Linked DNA regions of Ovis aries. The protein of the gene in region 2 interacts with the protein of the main gene of each other region in a biochemical or structural test. Links are inferred from orthologs where the notes say so. Each region holds a gene or a part of one and is shown on either strand. Other genes may lie near its edges.

The links.
Region 1: the proteins of SLX4 (region 2) and EME1 form a complex in vitro, tested with the Homo sapiens proteins (3 studies listed by BioGRID, with this or other methods). The link is inferred for Ovis aries from reciprocal best matches to the Homo sapiens genes SLX4 and EME1.

The regions. Positions count from the first base shown.
Region 1 is NC_056064.1:36,034,148-36,038,526, reverse strand, and holds the start of EME1 (crossover junction endonuclease EME1), read left to right. Parts: upstream 1-1,488; 5' UTR 1,489-1,741; intron 1,742-3,020; 5' UTR 3,021-3,045; coding exon 3,046-3,829; intron 3,830-3,912; coding exon 3,913-4,040; intron 4,041-4,379. Other genes in the region: MRPL27 (large ribosomal subunit protein bL27m), read right to left, coding at 1,387-1,426. UniProt on the Homo sapiens protein: Non-catalytic subunit of the structure-specific, heterodimeric DNA endonuclease MUS81-EME1 which is involved in the maintenance of genome stability. In the complex, EME1 is required for DNA cleavage, participating in DNA recognition and bending.
Region 2 is NC_056077.1:3,523,106-3,526,737, forward strand, and holds part of SLX4 (structure-specific endonuclease subunit SLX4), read right to left. Parts: coding exon 3,501-3,632; intron 2,108-3,500; coding exon 1,886-2,107; intron 147-1,885; coding exon 1-146. UniProt on the Homo sapiens protein: Regulatory subunit that interacts with and increases the activity of different structure-specific endonucleases.

The DNA.
Region 1 (4,379 bases), on a different chromosome or scaffold from region 2:
CCCTTGTTACTCTGACCTCTCCATACTCATTCCAAAGTGCTCAATGGTATTTATTTTAAAAAGGAAAGTGAACTAAAATTCATGCTGACCAGGATGGAAGTCCTGTGCTAGGCACAAGCCCTTGCCAGGACAAGCCCAGGATTGGGAATCCTTGCATTCAGGTCTCCAGATACAGCTGTGTTAATCAGGGTCATGCCAGAGTCTTTAGAGAAGCCCTGTGCGACCCTGGAGCCTGTCAGTTCATAGTTTCTAAAACCTAGGTTTCTGAAGTTTTAATTAGAACAGAGACTAGCTGGGACAAAAGGCCAGAGATAAGGACTTAAGAGAGACAACATATTAAACGCCCAGCATCAGGATCTACCTACCTTTAAACACCTCTACATTTGTTCACTCACTAAAGAAACTGGACTTTGGCTTTACCTACCTTATCTCATTCACAAATCTTTCCCCTTCACCCTATACCCCATCCTCCTCAAAGAAAATGATGCTATCACCTACACAGCTGGTCAGGCAGAAGTCAAAGAGTCATTGTAGATTCCTTCCCTTTGCTAACCTCAGGTATGGAGGGAGTCCATCAGCAAGCTCTGGATTCTATCTCCAAAACAGATCTCAAACCCACCCATTCCCCTCCAAGTTCACTGACACCAACATCCTGATTAAACCATCTTTCATCAGGTCTATTGCTACTACTTCCCATCTGCCTTCCTCATTTCTATTCCTACTCCTTTTAAGCTCACAGAGGAGCAAGAGCTTCCTCCTCAAAATGGAAAATTGGATCAAATCATTCTCTAGCCCCTCACTCTCTTGCAAAACCAGGCCTCCTACCATCCTTAAGGTCTTAACTTATATGTTACCTCCTCAGAGGGCTTCCCTGACTACCCAACCTAAAAGAAAAGACACAGACACATTTTTCCCTCTCGGTCACAGCACCTGTAATGATTCACAATTTTATTTATGTGCTTATTTACTGGTTTATCTATTACAAGTAACTTTCCTGGGGCTAGAGACTGTCTTCAGCAACCCTCAACAACTACCAGTGTCTGGCACAAATGCAGACCACAATCTACTGAACGAATGGATTAACTTTTTGAGCGCCTATGTGCCAACGATAGCAACCTATTTTTGTAGATGAAGGGGTCTAAAGAAACCCAGATAGAGGAGGCCGCAAATAACAGCAAGAGAAACTGTAAGAGCCAGCCAGTCCAGGTAAGGTCACGTGCTCCACGCCCCAGATGTCACGTGATCAGCGACTGCCCCGCACATTTTCCCCAGTCTCCTCCTTGCCCCAGGCTCCTCCACGGGGTACCGCCTCCACCCTCAGGCTCCCTGCAAGGTCTCCACTGCACTTCTACCCCTCGACCCGCAACGGCCACGGCGTCCGATTACCAGAAGTCCGGGTCCTCCACGCCAGCACCGCCAACGCCATGTTTTACGTACTCCCGCTTCCGGTGTTAGAGTTGTGCTTCCGCTACCGGGAGATCTATTTCCGGGTCCTGCGTGGCAGACGAAAGAGTGGCGCGACAAGTTGCTGGTGAGCGCTGCTGGGCTGCTGGTGGGCCGGCGGCGCAGGGCCTACTTCCTGAGCCAGGGTCTGCTGGGGCTTGGTGGCCGCGGCCTTTGCCGCCGCGTGTGGACGACCTGTCCGCCGTGTGCCTGCGGGAGAGACGTGGAGCGAGCTCAGCAGGGCGTTGCTTATCCGATACCCGCATTTTGCCAGTTACCGAGGTTGACGCCTCAGACGGTAAAGAAACTGCCCGTGATGCAGGAGAACCGAGTTCGATCCCTGGGTTCGGAAGAGCCCTGGAGAAAGGAATGGCACCTACTCAAGTATTCTTGCCTGGAGAATTCCATGGACAGAGGAGCCTAGCAGGCTACACAGTTCATGGGGTCGCAAAGAGTCAGAAACGACTGACTGAGTGACTAACACTTTAACCAAGGCCTGAGCGGGGATAGGGAGGTCCCTCCCTAGTCGTTCAGCTTTATAGAGCACTTCCTGCGTGCCAGATATAGTACTAAGCTCTATAGATGAATTACTAAAAAAATTTTTTTTTACCTTCTCACATCGTTGTAAAGTAGGTAATGTGACTATCCCTGTTTTACTGAAAAAGCATGGCCGGGACAGGTTACATGGCTCATCCTGCAGTGTTAGTGAGTATGTTAAGATTGTCTTGCGCACCACCCATCAATGGCGACCCTAGATATTTCTGTAAGAGAACGGAAAGCATCCCCACAAAAACTAGGAGGTGAATGTTCATGGAAGCATTCGTAATGGTCAAAAATGGAATCAAACAGAATGTCCACCAGGTGAATGGATAGACAAAATGTGGCACATAAATGGAGTGAAGTGCTACTCAGCTATAGAAAGCAATGAAGTCCTGACACATGCTACAACATGCGTGAACCTCGAAAACATGCTAAGTCACCGGAGTTCACATACTTAGGACTCCATTTCTGTGAACTATCTAGAATACCTAGTAGATTTGTAGAGACAGGAGTAGGTTTACGGTTGCCAGGGACTCCAGGGAAGGGGAAATGGACTGACTGCCTAATGGCTATGGGATTTCTTTTTGAGATGATGAAAGTGTTCTGGAATTAGATAGTAGTGATGGTGATACAACCTTGCAAATATACTGAAAACTGCTGAATTGTGTACATTGTAAAAAGACAGAATTTTATGGTATGTGATTATCTCAGTTAAAAAAAAGAATGACTCTTGAAATCTCCATCTTACATGCAGAGATCGGTAAAGAGATAGTATTGGGTCTTGTTCCTAGCTCATTAACATTTTTTAATAGTAACCTCCACTTTGTTTATACCTCACAGGGATGTGAGGAGGGTTCCTGTTAGACTACAGACATAGCTGTTCTGAGTTCCAGATTCATCGTATTGGACCACATCCTATTTCTCTGTTTCTTCATTTCTCTGTATATCATTTATTTCCATAAAGCTTGGCCATAGAGCACGACAACTGGACTGAATTCATTGCTACAGCCTGTGTCTCATCTCTCTCTTCATTGCAGGGAATTAACCTGATTGCACATACTGATGGCTGTAAAGAAGTCATCACTCTCACTGGATTCCAGTGAGAGTGACTCTGAGGAGCTGCCAACATTTGCTTTTCTGAAGAATAAACCATCTTCAGTAAAGAGGAGGCAGCCTCAGGAGGATGAGAAGATTGTAGTGGTTGACATCTCAGATTCTGAGGCCTCCTGTCCGTCACCAAAATTGAAAGATCCACCACTTGTTCCAGAGGCCGCTGAAACTGTCATACAAACAGAGCCAGTCAGTGTGCTAAGCAGTGGAAGTGAGAATGAGGAGGAATTTATGCCCCTGGCTGAGAGGCTTATTTGTAAGTTTTTGACTCACAAACAGCTGAGCCCTGAAAAATCCAGCTCCCCATTTGAAAGGGTTTTGGATCATCAAAATAATGAAAGAGTATCACGTGACTGGCAAAAACAGCCATTTACAAAGATCCGTGATATTCCTCTCTGTGGTACCTCAGAGAGGCATGCATCAAGTAACAAGGACCCTGTGGTAGACAATCCATGCCATCAGCTGCCAGCCTACCAAACTACCTGCACCGTCCAGAGCAACAGCTTGACAATAACCAAAACAAATGCTGAGGTGCCCCTGCCTCAGAAGAGACGCAAGTATAGTCAGAAGGTCCAGAAGAGCAGCGCACAGGGATGCCAGCAGTGGGGACGAGCAAGCCAGAAGGAGAGCACCCAGAGGCAACAGGAAAGGAAGAAGAAGACAGCCCTGGTTAACAGGCTGAAAGCTCAGAGGCCAGAGGAGTGCTTAAAGCACATCATTGTGCTGCTGGATCCAGGTCCTACCGACATCTATCTTTCTCTCCTGCTGGGTAAACTGCTTTCTGGGTCCTGCTGACAGTCCCTTTCCCGTCTGTTGCAGCGCTCTTACAGATGGGAGGTGGGGGTCAGCTCCTTGGAGCCCTGCAGTCCATGGATTGTTGCTGTGTGATAGAGGCGCAGGCTGTGCCTTGCAGCCTCACGTGGAGGAGAAGGGCTGGGCCCTCTGAGGTAGGGGTTTTCTGACTGCTGTCTCTCCTCCTCCTTAAGTTTTACAAGATAAATATGCTTTTATCCTAAAGGCTATATCTCAGTCAAGGCCCTACCTGGAAAGCAGATGGCACACTCAGTATAAACTTGAGGAGGGTTTAATAAAGGGCTGTTTTTCAAGGTGTGGGCAGGGTGCAAGGAAACTACAAGGGACAGCTCCATCCCGTGTATAACAACAGCCTTTACTCAGTTTCTCCATCTGGGGTAGTGCTGCCATTTCAGATTGGTTAATGCTGCACTGTAGGATTATGGACTGTTACGTGACCTTGGCTTTGTTTGACTATGCCTTAGTGTGGTGAA
Region 2 (3,632 bases):
GTTCTTCTGACAGATCTGGCAAAAGAACAACCCCGTCTCCTCCAGGCTGTCGTTGGGTGCGGATGCCTGTTCCTGCCCAAGCTCCTGCTGGAGGGCCAAGGCCACTGCAGTGTCGCTTTCTGTGGCGGGGAGCCCGGGTCCACACCCTGTGGAGACACAAGGACCCATGAGGACCAGCTCGTCCTTGGACCTCACAGGGCAAGGACGCTGGGTGGGGCGTGAGGAGCCCAGACCCAGCCCAGGGAGACTGGACACCAAGCAGGGTACTCCCCAAACTTGTAACAGGCGCAAGGACCCCCAGGAAGCTCGTTAAAGTGCAGGTCAGGAGGCTGACACTCTGGGGGGGCTACGTGGAGCCTGAGACTCTGCATTTCGGCCAACTTCCAGGCAAGGCCACTGTTGCTGGTCCAGGACCACTCTCTGAGCACCAGAGCCCTGAAGAATTTGCCTTTGGTTTCCCATTTCTGCTAAAGTGGCAACCCTGGGCATCCCAGGATTGTAAGGCTCTTACTGCAAGGAATCCTAGGTTTCCTCTTTAAAGCTCAACCTCTCCTACTGCTCTGACTTTTTCTTGCCCCTCCAGGTCAGAGCCAAATGCTGCTCTTGGTTTTTCTTGGCATCAGACCAGAGGATGGACTGATTCTAATCTTGGGATGGTGCCCAAGGCAGCTGTGCCCACTGTTGTGGCCCTGTCATACCTGATGTTGCTGGAGCAGACCCTTGGCACTCATGCGGGATGTGCCCTGAGAACAAGGCCAGAAAAGCACCACACTTCATTTTGGTCCAGTACTTTTTTTAAACAAAGAAATGGTTTCTCTCTCCTGATTACTGGGTATGATGTGAAGAAGACTGATGGAAACAACTCAGTCACATGCAGGGCAGGGGCTGGGCTCATGCACTGGCTGAGTGACCCCTCTGCACCCCTTGGTGCCCCGTGGACCAAGGACTGATGCCACATCACTGTGTCACCTGCATGGGCCTGACAGTGCTCAGTAGTCCTGAGGTGAAACCTGCAAGTAAATACCGGGAAACTATGGATTTACTGGCTGCAGGTCTGTCAATGGTTTCTTCCTATTTCTTTTCCTTTTGTGTATTTTCACCAGGGGTGAGGATTCCTGCTGTTTAGGGGATAAAGCGCCACTGACAGTACGAGCCTCCTGGGATGGTACAATGTGCAGCAGATGGCACTTCCCTGCAGGAAAGGGTTAAATGACATCAGGCAGAAACAAGCAGATCCACAAAGTGGGGAGTTTTAAAAGACAACTGTCCTGGATTTTTCAAGAAGTCAGTATCACAAAAAACAAGGACAAGATAAGAGACTGTTACAGAGTCTAGACCAGAGACACTACTGAGCCACGGCTATAAGCAGCGTGTGACGAACCCTCGTTCAGGAAGAGTTCGCTACAGAAGCAGTCCTTGGGGCAGCCGGGGAAATGTGAATGTGAGCAGGCAGTGTTCTGGACCCACGTGTGTTTATGGAATTGCGGTTATGTAGGAGAGTCTAGGGGTGAAGCATCATGATGTCTGTGACTTGCTTTCTGATGGTACGGAAGAAGTGTCCATCTATAGAGACAAGAAAAGGTGTGGCAGAATGTCCACTGTTTGTTAAATCTAGGTTGAGGGCATAGGGATTTCATTGTAATATATTTTTCTGATTCTTTTGAATGGGAAAATTTTTGTAATAAGTCAAAATGAAAAAAGAGGAAGTGGTACCTTCTCAAAGAAGCTAAGTGAGAAATGACCCAGGGGACCCTCTGTTCTCTGGCCAGAGTGGCAAAGGCAGAGCGTGGGGCAGAAGGCCCACCCCTGGCTGAGAAGGCAGGCTCCTTCCTGACCCCTTTCCCCCAACATCATCCCTGTTGGGAAGACAGCGCTTCCTTCATACCGTTCACCGCCATCACATCTTGAGGGCCCTTTGGGACATTTTCTTCAGGTGCAGCCTCGAGCGAGCAGCCTTCAGAAGCATGTTTTAAGCGCTCGGGGTCTGCTCTCTTGAACTGCTGCATTCGCTGGAGCACCAGCTCTGCCGCCCTGGGTTTGGAGGGACTTGGCGCCGTTGCAGTCAGACAGGAAGGAGGGGGCTGCGAGAGGCTGTCCGTGGTGGCCTCTGGCAAGGAGAACATTCACACGCATCAGTTCTAGCAGGAGAAACCGAAGGTTCTTCTAGTGTCAAAGACCTCAGATTTCAAATGGGTCCTTTACTGACTACATTAGGTGTAACTCTAAAGTACTGATTGTTTTTTGGTAGCCTCACTGTTTGTGGTGATAAAAACACCCCTGCCATATGTATCTGTGATGGGAGGGGGCACATTTCTGAGGTGATAAACATGTTCTAAAAATTAAGTGGTGGGGATGGCTGCACAACTCTGTGAATAAAGTCGCTGAACCATCCACTTGAAAGGGGTCAATTTTATAGAATGTGAACTATATCCCTATAAAGCTGTTATTAAAGAGTTATTAATGACAGACACATATCTTTCTAGGTCAGAAGTTCTCCTTTAACTTGGTGTCTGAAGATGACCTCTGGGGGGACCCATGCAGCCCCTGATGCTGCATGTCACCCTCGCAGGTGTGTTTTTGGGGGGAGCAGTGCAGTGTTCTGGGGGAAATCAAGCATAGCTTTCACTATACTCTCAAAGGAAGCGTGAAAGACCAAAACGTTTCGGCAACATTAATGAAGCCTTACAACAGTCTCTGTGAGCTAAGGCTCTACCACCACTGCACTGGGGAGGCCTTGCTGACCACATAGGTAAAAAACATTATTTAAGATCAGGAAGTGAAGGTGAGAAAAATTTAGAAACAGAACTCAGGAGTCCAAAGATCTTGCGCTGTGTTATATACGCAAGGCTGGTTTTCAGTTCTGCATGAAGAATATATGTTGAGCATGTGGTTTAATACACCAGGGCAGCAGGGTGAGCAAGTTGCTTTAAACAAATAAACAGAGAAGAATAAAAGGTGTTTGGAACAGATAGGAAGGACAAGAAGAGTCTCCTGGGACTCTAAACCCACATAGCATATGCCTTCTACCTTCTCAGCAGTCTAACCAAATTGGCTCACCCATTGTAACTTACCCACTTTGGAATGAACCCAAGAAAATGAGAGAAGTAGCATTATTTTTATGTTCATGAAAAAAAAAAACCACCACAAACTCATGTTAACTGCATGATGTAAACGTTAATAGGAAAATGAAAGAGCAGATGGCCCCAAATATATCATGTAGAGAATTCATACAACGGTTATGATTATTTTCTTAATGACTATTGTTTAAAACAAGAGTCAGCAAACTATGGTCTTGGGCAGGCTGCCTATTTTTGTAAATGAAGTTTTGCTGGAACACAGCCCATTCAATTACACATCGTCTAAGAAATAGTTTGTGACAGAGACTGTATGGCCGGCAAAGCCAAAGAAACTTACTAGCTTTCAGAAAGTTTTCTGATCCTTGGTTTAAAATGGTACAAATCACCTCTGGTGTCCTCTCTGGCAGAGGTTCTGACCGTTACCTGTCTGGGTGCTCCATGCGCTATCCTGGAGTACAGCAGAAGTGTGTACACCTCCCTCGGTGTTTTCAGGGGGAGCTGGTTCAGTCTCTGGCCTCTTGGGTGCCCTGTGCTTTTGAGTCCGCGGGACCTGGC